Tamandua tetradactyla: one gene and its partners. The protein of the gene in region 1 purifies or fractionates together with the protein of each later gene. This does not show direct contact. Links are inferred from orthologs where the notes say so. Each region holds a gene or a part of one and is shown in the gene's direction. Other genes may lie near its edges. The genes, in order: UBTF, SIRT7 and RUNX2.

Region 1 (3,745 bases):
GGCTGGCGACCCAGCTGGCCGCGATGTGGGTAGGAGCAGTGCCGGTGGGAGACCCGGCAGCCCCGCGAGCCAGGAGCGATGGCGCTGCCCCGGGCGCGAGCGCTCGAACCACAGGCCGCTGGCCTGTTGCAAGCAGGAGTCCTTCAGACTGTCTTCTGGCTCCCATCCGATAACCCTTCCACTGAGAAAGGGAGGCAGAGACTGACAACCATAGCCGACGGCAATGGGGTTGGCTGGTGGTCCCCGCCCAGGCCTTTCCATACCCAGGCCCAGGCTGGTGGGGTGCGGGAGACCCACGCGGAGGCTGCCCCGCGGCGGCTCTAACAGCGAGGCCGGGGTGCCCGGCTCCCCTCGCGGCTCTCAGTCGCCGGGGGGCAGCGCCTGCGGCCTGCTTTCCCAGGGCTGGCCGAGCCTTTTTGACAAACTGATTGCGTGGCGGGGATTGGCTGGTCCAGGCGTGACGCCGGTAACAACAAAGGTGGAGTTGGAAGAAATTAGATTAAAGACTAGGAAAAAAAAAAATTAAAGGGGGAGCTGGCCAAGGGACAGGAGACAGAGATCGAAGGGTTGAGGCGCGAAGCGCCGTCTCGCGGCTCCGACCTCTCCCCGGAATCCCCTGCGTGCAAACCGGTCCGGATTTCGCTCTCCACGCCCACCCGGACCCAGCTCTCCAAAGCCGAGGTGGAAGGGACGGCTGGTACTTTCTGAAAAATCCCCCTCAACTCCCACCCGTGACACCCCTGGCTACGACCCAGGGGGGGGAACTTTTTGGTCGGACTCCTCGGATCCTATACCCGGCGGAGGTGGGGACGTTGAAAACAAGGAGAGACTCGCTCTAAACCCCGGAAGGCCCTTGCAGGGCACGAAGATCGGACCAGGCGGGGTGTTCCCCCGTTTTTTCGATGTGTTGTAAATCTGAGAAGAGCGTCTTTCGTTTCATTCCTTTTTCCTTCTTCTTCTTCTTCTTTTTTTTTTTTGTAAAATCCCCCCTTGATTCGCACCCCACCCCCAGCTTTGGCTTCAGGGTTACAAAAGCAAAGAGCAATAAAAAAAAAAAAAAAAAAAAAAAAACCGCGCACACACTCAGGCACACACCAGTGGCGACAGGGGAGAGTAGGAAAGACGCAGGAGAGAAGCAGGAGGCAGGAGGCAGCGGGGAGGGAGCAATGGGAGCGGGAAGGAGGCAGGTTCCCTGGCAAATCCGCCTCCGGCCTCACGCCGCCTCACCGGCCCCGGCAGGGGAGCGAGGAGCCGGGCAAGCAGATGGAGTGGAGCTCGCTCTAGGCAGCGGGCTTGGCCGGAGAATGGAGGAGCCGCCAAGCGACCGGCTGATTGGAAGAGAAACGCAGAGCGATGGAGGCGGGGGTAGGAGGACGATTTCTCTGCGGGGACTGGCGGCAGCGTACACGCCCGGGTCGGGCGCTGCAGAGCTTGGCTAGCTTTCAACCCGCGCTCGCCGGCTCCAGCCCGGTGCGCCCCCACCCCCAGCCCTACCGGCGGCTCCGCAGGTGAGTGCGAGCTGGGGGCAAAAAGACCCAAAAGTCTCAAAACGCCCGCCCTGCGGGTAAAAAAAAAAAGCAAGAGAAAATGGAAAAGAAAAGCATGTTTCTTTCTTTCTTTCTTTTTTTTAAAATTTTTGTGCAGTTCCCAGCACGGTGGGAGGGAAGGGGTGAGGCTGAGCCGCCCGGAGGAGGCGGAGGGGCCAGGCGAGGCCGGGGTGGCCCGGGAGGCGGCGGCGCCGAGGCGGCTCTGACGGGCGAGCGCTCGGAGCGGCGCTGCGCTGCGCCGAGGCGGGCGGGCGGGCGGAGCGGGGCGGGCGGAGCGCGGCGCGTGGGGCTCGCCATTAGCCGTCGCTCCGCTTCGCCATCTCGGGCTTTGTCTGGCGACTCGCTGCTCCGGTGTCGGCTGCGGCTCGGCTCTTCGGCCCGCCGCGCCCCCAGGTGCCCCCGGCCCGCGTTCCCATCCACTCGTTCGGTGAGTGCGCCCCAGCGCCGCGGGATTTCGGGAGAAGAGGGGTTGCGGCGAATGGCAGCGGCGGCCGATCTCCATGCGCCCGGGCGGGCCTGGGGTAGCCATGCCGGGCTGGATTGAACCGGCTCCCAGAGCGGCTCCTCGGCCACAGCCGGTCGCCCCCTCGCCGTTTCCGGGGTGTAAGGAGTAGAGAGGAATTTTTTTTTTTTTTTTTTGCGGGAGAGCGTTCCTGGGGGCGATTTTTATTTTGTTAAAGTTTAGTGTATATCGCTCTACTCGCCAGCGCGGGGACCGCGAGGCGGGCTGGCGCCGCGATCGGCAAGTCTGCGCCCCAAGCCCGCGGCCACACGCGGAGGATATGGGTGGGCGCGGACCACCCGTTCCAGGAGGCAGGAGAGGGAAGCGGGTGAGGGCTGGCCTGGGAGGCCGGAGCTAAACTGAGAGGAGTGGTGGGAGAGCTCCGGAACAGGGCTACGGGCACCACCGAATGTCCCCGGCCGCCGGGGAGCCCTCCGGGCACCCTCGTCGCAGCCGCGCCCTCCCTCCCGCGCCGGCCAAGCCTGCTAGTTCCCCCGCGGGTCTGGGGAGGTCGCTCTCAGCGCGCCCGCCCGCCTCGGCTCCGAGCCCCGCCGCCATCCGGGCGGCTGCGTGTCTCCCTGCCTCGGCCCCCCCCCTCCGGCGGCAGCAGCAGCAGCAGCAGCAGCCGCCGCCGCCGCCACCCCCCTCCCCTCCTTCCTTCCCTCCGCCTCGGCCGCCCGGGTCCCCCTAGCTCCCGCCCCTCCTCCCAGCTGCCCCCCGCGGAGCCCGCCCGGGCAGGCTGTGGGAGGGAGTGGAGCCGGCGAGGCAGGCGGGCTGGCGCTCGCTCCCCGGGGGTCGGTGTGCGCTCTACGGGGAAGGACGCGCTCGCTGCCCCGCTTCTCCCGCCCCCCCTCCCGCTCCTCCTCCTCCCTTCTCCCTCCTCCTCCCCGCTCCGGCGGCGGAGGCTGCGGCGGCGGCGGGGGGTGTGCGAGCGGAGGCCGGGGCCGGCGGGCGGGCGGCGGGCGGGCTGCCTGCAGGCGGAGGGCGCTGTGCTTTGTGCTTTTCGCCGCGAGGAGCAGCAGGCAGCAGCCAAAGCTGCCGCCGCCGCCGCCACAGCAGGAGCAGCCGCCGCCCCAGCGCCGCCGCCGCGCCCGGAGGAGGAGCCGCTGCCGCCGCGGGAGGGAGCTGCGGCTGTGCCCGGCCGAGCGGGGGAGGGCGCCGCCGCTCAGAGCCGGGGAGGGAGCCACGGGAGCGGGAAGCCCGGAGGCCGCGCTGCGCTGGGTAACTGAGGCGGACGGAAGACGCGCGCTGGGGTCGGGGCCCAGCAGCGGGGAGCGAGCTGCGGATGCGGGGGGCGCCCGGTGGGGACCCGAGGCGACCTCCGGGCAGGGGACTGGGCGAGAGCAGACCAGGGCACTGGGGAGGACACGCCGAGAGCCGGGGGAGGGGAAGGCAGGAAGCGAGGCCCGAGCCGAGCCCCAGCCGCGAACGTAGGAGCCCGCGCTTCTCCGAGCCGGCAGGCGCAGTTCTCGCCGGCCGCCGGAGGGGGCGGCGGGGCCGGTGAGCGCTGCGCCCCCGCCTCCCGGCCGCCGTCCTCCCGCCCTCTCCTTGGCTCGGCTCCCCGGAGGCCGGGGCGGGGGCGCCGGCAGGGCTGGGCCGCAGGCTCGGGGGAGGAGGCGGCGGTTCCCGCCGCGGTCGCGCCTCTGCGCCGAGCTCCTTCGTGCGCGTCGGGGTGGCTGGGCGGTGGCGGCGATTC
Region 2 (3,745 bases), about 51 Mb from region 1:
TTTCTGACACAGCGAATCGAGGGCTTTGGCTGAGGCCAAGCCACCCATACTTGTTCGCTAAGTAAACCATAACGTGTCTTCCTCTTCACCTTGCCCCTGGGTCAGCTCCCCCCATTATGACAACCTGGACACTCAGATTTCAGAGAAAAACCCAGCAGGAACAGGTCAGCTCCTGCCCAAAGAATATGGCCACAGAGAATCCCCCTGGGTCCCTGGCTGCTGCTCCAGGGTAGGTGCCACCGTGTGTGAAGGTGGGGAGAGTCAGCTGCTCTGAGATAGCTCGGGAGTGGGGTGCTGACTTTTCTCCCCACTTCAGCTTGTCAGCGGCAACCTCCATGGTCTCAGGGCTCAGGCCCATGGCTCTGGTCTCTGCTGTGCTGCTTTGGGATGTGTGCCCATGCCCCATCTATCCCTCTGCCTTCTCTCTGGAGAGACCCAGAGGCTAGTGCTCCCTGTCCCCAGCTGGGAAGCCTCAGCCGCAGCCTGCAGCACCGTTTCCGCTCTAGGATCATGTGAGTTTTTTTTTTTAGGCTGTGGTTTGGTGAAAGGAACCAACGCATTAACGATTTTTTTTCCCCAAAAGCCACTGAATAATTCTCTTTGGCGCCTTTTTTCCCTTCCTCTTGGCTGTCAGTGGTTTGGGAGCAGGTGGGGAGAGTGGAGAACTCATGCAGCGCTGCGCCGAGGCACAGGCATGTTAGCAAAACTGCCATACCTGTCCTGCTTTGGCCTGTGTGTGTCCTGGGTCTGGGCCCAGCCACACAAATGTCCACCGTGCCTGGGCAGCAGCCTTGCTACCTTGGGTGTCCCACGACTCCAAGCTGACTGGCAGAGAGCACATCTCCAACCCACCAGGAGAGCTCCCTGTTCTGGGTGGTCTCAGTTGGGCGTTGGCCCCAATGGTGAGCTCGTGTCCCAGCCTTGTCCTTCTCCCCATCTCTTCCACTCCCTGAAGCCTTGAACCAAACAGGAGTGGGTACTGAAAGCCTCCTCCCAGCTATTGGGACACCAGAACCAGGGCTGCCCAGTGTGTCCAGCTCTGCTGGTCTCCTGGCACTGAGCGGGTGGATTGGGGCGGGTTGAGCAGACTCCACCTGCCCCGCCTAGGGCAGAAGCTGGGAGAGGCTGGAGGCTGGGGGAGTACCCTGGGGTTGGGTGGGTTAAAGTGGGGGGCAGATGTTAAAGATCTAGGGAGGAGGGGGCTAGGCGCCCTGCACCTGGCCCTCGCTGTCGGTGGTCAGGGGCGACCGGGGCAGGCCGGGCCTGGGGTTGGAGGGCCCTGCCTCGTGCAGTATTTATTGCTAAATTATTGTCCAGGAGGGGCGGCACTGGGCCGGCCCCCCGGGTATTTATTGCTGTACATAGTGTATGTTTGTGACATATAAGGTTTTCTTTATTTTGTATATGACCAATAAACACCTTTTAAAAAGAGACTGGCAGGTGCTTCCTTGGGCGGGCGGGGCCGGAAGGGGCGGGGCCTGGCGCGCATGCGTGCGGCCGGGACGAGGCGGAAGCGGAAGCGCGGGCTGCCCCGGGGAGCGATGGCAGCCGGGGGTCTGAGCCGCTCGGAGCGCAAAGCGGCCGAGCGGGTCCGCAGGCTGCGGGAGGAGCAGCAGCGGGAGCGCCTGCGCCAGGTAGGCCCCCACTTGCCCGCGCCCCGCGCCCAGGCCTGCGCGCCCCTCACCGCCCGCCGCCCGCCCGCAGGTGTCACGCATCCTGAGGAAGGCGGTGGCCGAACGCAGCGCCGAGGAGGGTCGGCTGCTGGCCGAGAGCGAGGACCTGGTGACGGAGCTGCAGGGCCGGAGCCGGCGACGCGAGGGCCTCAAGCGGCGGCAGGAGGAGGCGAGTCCCGCGCGGCAGTCGTTCCGAGGGCGCTGTCTGGCCTCGCCGGGGCCAGGGCGCTCTGGGGCTGGGCAACTTTCCGAGCGAGACGCCGGCGGCCTTCGGTCCGGAGCGGTCGTCTGCCCGGAATTCCCTGGCCCCGGCCTTCTGCCCAGGGGTGGGGGATAGTAGCCAAGGACGGGGGCAATGGCCAGCCTCGGCGTCTCCGCAGGTGTGCGATGACCCGGAGGAGCTGCGGAGGAAAGTCCGGGAGTTGGCGGGCGCTGTCCGGAACGCCAAGTACTTGGTCGCCTACACAGGCGCGGGGATCAGCACGGTAGGGAGGCGAGCCGGGGATGGCCGTGCCCTCGGGACGCTCCACGCGCCGCTCCACGCCCGCCCACAGAACCGAGAGGGCCGGGGACTGAGCGCTCCGAGAGTCATGTGACTGCCGGCCCAGAGGCGTGGGTGGGGGGCGCCCCCTCCCCAGGGCCGAGGACGACGGGGAACATAAAACGTCAAGTAGATGAGCACTTAAAAAACTCTGGAACCCTGTGTCGTACCCGTGTAGACAGGAAGGAAACGAGAGGGGCACGGGACCTAAACAGCTTAGTGCATGCAGGCACCGGCCATTTGGAGTTAAGGAGGCTGATCTCCTTCATCCGGGTTCATTGTGTTTCTGAATGTGAAGGAAGGCACAGAGAAAGCCAAACTCAGGATATACTGGGCAAAGAAGAGAAGTGCTTTGAGCTTTGAGAGACTTCATTGAGGCGCCGTCCTGGGTTTTGAAAGTGTGAGTGGCTCCTTGTCCGTCTAACCTGACAATTGTGAGTTGAGTGTAGACCTAGCAGAGAACCTGGAAAACTCATCCTGGCTGGCCTTTTGGGAGAAGCAGCATTGAATCAGAGCCCAGAAGGATGGGTAGGATTGCACAGGTAAAAGTGGGCAGAAAGCACTCCCAACAGGGTTACTAGCAGAGGCCCAGTGGCAAGAGTGCATATGGTATGTGTTCATTGTCCTACCTCAAAAGTACCTGTTGCCCTGGTATCTGGTCACCTCCCTCCGCAGTCACATGTGAAATCCAGTCACGTGATCCCTTGGAGAGACTAACCTTGAAGAGCTGGAAGTGGCACCTATAAACCTTATGCTGCTTCTTGGTTTGAGCATCACCGCTGGAAGTTCCTCTGAAGGCGACAGTCAGAAACACTGGCCAGGGGTGGGGTTTCACTGGGGAAACCCAGAAGCGATGACGCTGGGTTTCCCCTGGCTGGTGCTTCATGGCCCAGGAAGCACCAGCCACCTTGTTCCTGGCACACCTTTTCTTGTCCTATCTCTCAGGATGGGGTTTGCTGGATTGGGCACTGAGAAAATTACATAGCATTTTATTGACTCTGAAGAGATTATTCTGTCATTGTTAAGATGGAGCAGGAGCCACCTAGAGGGCAAAGCATCTGACGATAGGAATTTGAGCAGAAGCATCCTCAGTTAGGGGTTCACCATTTGCACTGGGCTAGGCCCTGGGGACACAGGTGAGCCTGGCCACACCCCCATCCCCCCATCCCCACTTCAGTATCAGCAGTGTGGGAATAGGAAGAGGTTCCCCCACCTGCCAGGGAGGCCTCCAGAAGGAAGGAACTGTGTTAGGGAATATTCCAGTTTGGTCAGGCAGGTCAGACTAGGAAACGCTGGGTCCATGGTATGAACTGGACTGATTCATGGGCCTGCCTGGAGCACGGCAGGAGAAATGCTTACTTCCTTTTCTCCGGAGTCCAGCCTGAACCCACAGTGAACACACTGTTTTCTGAACACACAGGCAGCCTCTATCCCAGATTACCGGGGCCCTAATGGAGTATGGACGCTACTTCAGAAAGGGAGAAGGGTCAGGTAAGCAGGCCCAGGGCGATCCCCACTCTGAAGGGAGGTT
Region 3 (3,745 bases), on another chromosome or scaffold:
AATTGGATTGTTCAGCTTTATAATTTTTGTTGAAAAATGCCCCATCACTTACAACTGATGAAATCAGGAAGCCCTATTCATAAGTATAAAAATCATTGATATATAATCATCCTAATAAGAAAATGAAAATGAGTTCTATACATATGTCCAAACGGGCAAAAAACATCTCAAATATGTTTTCAATTTTTTTCAGGATCAAAATTAGCAAACTGAGATGACTAGCATACTCTGTCTGTGTGCATTATTTTTTACTACATACCTTTTTGTAATTTATTTCAAAGCTTCCATTATAAACAAAAAATACATTTTCCATTAACCCACTCCATCCTGAACTTACACAATCTAAATTACAACATATTTTATTTAATATGTTTATAAGGTATTTAAGATGTCTTATCAAAGACTCTGTCAAAGTTAATAGCCAAATAAACTATTTAAAGAATTATACAACTGAACACATTTCCTTGAAAGTTAAGAATTATTACAATCATAAAGGAAAAGAAGACATCCACTAAACTGCTGTAATTCTTGCCATTCATTTGTATAAGACCCTCAAACTAGTCATAACATAAAAGTTATACATTATAAAAGATATAAAAAATACTTTAAATCTTTATTGTAGGACCTGCTATCTAACACTGATAATACATAAACTAGAGACATGATTTAATATTTGTACAAGAATCCCCAGACTAACACTTTCATGACAGCCAATTACAGTCCAGCCCAACAAGCAGTTTGCCACCAGACCTTAAGGTAAATTTTTTTACAATGAATTACAGGTTCACAAGTTTAAAAAGACAAGAAAAAGAAAAACAGAAGAACTCTAGCCATCCAGCAAATATGAAGCAGACCCCAGAACGTGATACAACCCAAAGATGTAAATTACTGTAAATCATCACTGTTGTTCAGAATTTCACACAGCCACTTGACCCAATTTTGCTCATTTTTCCATAGACACAATAATGAACTAAAAGAAAGAGGCAAAAGAAAAAAAAAAAGGAGGGGGGGAATGGGGGTGGTGACAGAAAGGAAAGACCTTAACTGCAGACTTCAGTTCTACAAATGCTTAACCTTCAGGAGTTTGGGCTCCTTCAGCATTTGTATTCTATCCAAATCCTCATGAGTCACAAAAATTAAAAAGCTATATCCTTTTGGATGCCAGGAAGGGCCTTACCACAAGCCTTTTGTCAGAGAAAGAGAGAGAGAGAGAGAGGGAGAGCAAGAGCAAGGGGGAAAAGCCACAGTGGTAGGCAGTCCCACTTTACTTTGAGTACTGTGAGGTCACAAACCACATGATTCTGTCTCTCCAGTAATAGTGCTTGGAAAAAAAGGAGTTTTAAAGCTTTTGCTTTTTTGGATTGTGTGAATGCTTCATTCGCCTCACAAACAACCACAGAACCACAAGTGCGGTGCAAACTTTCTCCAGGAGGACAGCAAGAAGTCTCTGGTTTTTAAATGGTTAATCTCCGCAGGTCACTACCAGCCACCGAGACCAACAGAGTCAGTGAGTGCTCTCTAACCACAGTCTATGCAGTAATAGTAGGTCCTTCAAATATTTGCTCATTCTTTTTGTTTTGTTTCCCTGCTTTTCACATGTTACCAGCTACATAATTTTTTGACAGAAAAAAATAAATATAAAGTCTATGTACTCCAGGCATATTGTAAAACTAAAACAAGGTTTGGGTATGGTTTGTATTTCCAGTTTAAGGCTGCAAGCAGTATTAACAACAGAGGGTACAAGTTCTATCTGAAAAAAAAGGAGGGACTATGGCATCAAACAGCCTCTTCAGCACAGTGACACCATGTCAGCAAAACTTCTTTTGGGGTAAGTGTTATCATTTTTAAAATCCTATAAGAGATGAACCTGTTAAACATAAATGTATGTTTCTTAGATAAATTGCTAGCTTTTCAGGATAACAGTATATTAAAGATATTAACAATAATACTATTCTGTTGAAGTAAAAAATTGAAAATGAAATTGATGTACATATTTGTATATGGCATCTGTATTCTCTGAATAACTTGAAATGGACAAAAATTAATCATTTTTTATTAATCAAAATGTTTTGGGGGCTATAGAAATAAGAATGCTAAAACAGTAAAAGAAACAGCTTAATATTCTCATTTAACCCTCTCTGCAATAAAATGAAGCACGAAATTAATCAAAGTATTATAAATTATTGACTCCAGAAGCTCGCAATATTTGAGCAAAAACTTCAAAATGGAAGCAATCTTACAAAATAACCGAGCACAGATTTATCCCAACATTATGCTCTACTATGTAAAACAGAGAAAGAAATAAACGTACAATACAGTCAGTATTTGAACCAGCTCAACTAAAAGAACTCTATTTATAATTTTAAACTGAGTAAGATATCTGCACAAGTTTGTTTCTAAACAACTATATAACTGAACCATACATTCAATGAAAATAAAATTGCACTAAGTATATCATAGCCATTTTTAAAAGCTCTTTATAGTTGCCTAGGATATTAAGTTTACAGAAGTCTCTAAAAACTAAAATGGAACTGTATTTTCCTATATAATTTTAATTTTACATTTACACTGTTATCCATACGTAGAATTGTTATAAACACATAGCAAATACTGAAACTTCTAAGATTCTTTTAGTAACATTCTTAGACCTACCAAAATGAATAGCATTTTATTTCATGAAAAATAAAGCTCTATAAGAATACTCTGCATGATTTTAAAGAGCCATGCTTATTAATTTTGCTGGACTTTTAAAAGAAAACAGAAACAATACAGTCTCTTAATTAATTTCAAGTTAGTATTGATATAGATAAGTAAACTACTCCAACCTTCACTAGTTGACATAGTATCACAGCAAAATAGCTAAACACTTACAATGTTTTCTTTATGATGTCCAACATGTTCCAAATACAAAGCAAGTTTTGAAAATATCCTGTTTATCCTTTAAAACAAATCCTTTTGCTGTGTATACCTCTGTAACTTACAACTATTGATTGGAGTTTCCTTTACTCCTCCTCCTCCACACATTTTAACTGGCTAATACTTGAGAATCAGTCTTAGTTTAGGTCAAATAGAAATAATTAAACCTGAAGGGGGGGGAGTTTCACTTAAGGGATGAGGAAATATACTCTATATTTTGCAAAAAAAATCTAAAATTATTGTAGTGGCTCCCTCAATAGCTGTAAGCGAGCTCCCTCAGCAATATAATAATCACAGATTGTTTTTAAAACTTCATGGTGGGTAATTAAGCATTAGTCTAAAAATTTCTGAGTTAAGAAAGTACAACAAATATAACTAGACTGTATTATACCCCATATTATAATTACAGCTTATGCATGCGAACTTTTGCTGTTACTACCTAAGAGATGAGGAAAAAAAGCTGTTTAAAATGATTGTTAGTAGAGGGATAACTTGAACAGGTACATTAAGCAGTTAAGTTACTCTTTAACAATATTACTCTTTTGCAAAAATACATTTCTAACCAGATGAGGAAATAACACAAGCTTGAAGGAAATACTTTAGCATTGGAAGTAAAGCTATTAATATTGGCACAAACGGTATGTTAAAATGCTCCTTATTTGATCATATCAGAGGTTTTATATTTCCCTGATGTCCTTAATAACCATTTCTAGTTAAGATTTCTGAAACTTGACCAAGTTTCTATACAAGGAATAATTGTGAAATAAGCAGATAAAAATCACCTTCTATTGCATGTCATATTTTTAATTAGACATTATAACTAATTCTT

The links.
Region 2: the proteins of UBTF (region 1) and SIRT7 purify together in Homo sapiens (affinity purification with western blotting; 3 studies listed by BioGRID, with this or other methods). This does not show direct contact. The link is inferred for Tamandua tetradactyla from reciprocal best matches to the Homo sapiens genes UBTF and SIRT7.
Region 3: the proteins of UBTF (region 1) and RUNX2 purify together in Homo sapiens (co-immunoprecipitation; 3 studies listed by BioGRID and IntAct, with this or other methods). This does not show direct contact. The link is inferred for Tamandua tetradactyla from reciprocal best matches to the Homo sapiens genes UBTF and RUNX2.

The regions. Positions count from the first base shown.
Region 1 is NC_135332.1:23,273,711-23,277,455, forward strand, and holds the start of UBTF (nucleolar transcription factor 1), read left to right. Parts: upstream 1-1,150; 5' UTR 1,151-1,508; intron 1,509-1,827; exon of another isoform or gene 1,828-1,974; intron 1,975-2,773; exon of another isoform or gene 2,774-2,843; intron 2,844-3,203; exon of another isoform or gene 3,204-3,270; intron 3,271-3,642; exon of another isoform or gene 3,643-3,745. UniProt on the Homo sapiens protein: Recognizes the ribosomal RNA gene promoter and activates transcription mediated by RNA polymerase I (Pol I) through cooperative interactions with the transcription factor SL1/TIF-IB complex.
Region 2 is NC_135332.1:74,097,263-74,101,007, reverse strand, and holds the start of SIRT7 (NAD-dependent protein deacetylase sirtuin-7), read left to right. Parts: upstream 1-1,502; 5' UTR 1,503-1,541; coding exon 1,542-1,634; intron 1,635-1,704; coding exon 1,705-1,842; intron 1,843-2,053; coding exon 2,054-2,158; intron 2,159-3,634; coding exon 3,635-3,705; intron 3,706-3,745. UniProt on the Homo sapiens protein: NAD-dependent protein-lysine deacylase that can act both as a deacetylase or deacylase (desuccinylase, depropionylase, deglutarylase and dedecanoylase), depending on the context. Specifically mediates deacetylation of histone H3 at 'Lys-18' (H3K18Ac).
Region 3 is NC_135331.1:103,059,093-103,062,837, forward strand, and holds the start of RUNX2 (runt-related transcription factor 2), read left to right. Parts: upstream 1-1,390; 5' UTR 1,391-1,503; exon of another isoform or gene 1,504-1,542; intron 1,543-1,705; 5' UTR 1,706-1,770; coding exon 1,771-1,828; intron 1,829-3,745. UniProt on the Homo sapiens protein: Transcription factor involved in osteoblastic differentiation and skeletal morphogenesis. Essential for the maturation of osteoblasts and both intramembranous and endochondral ossification.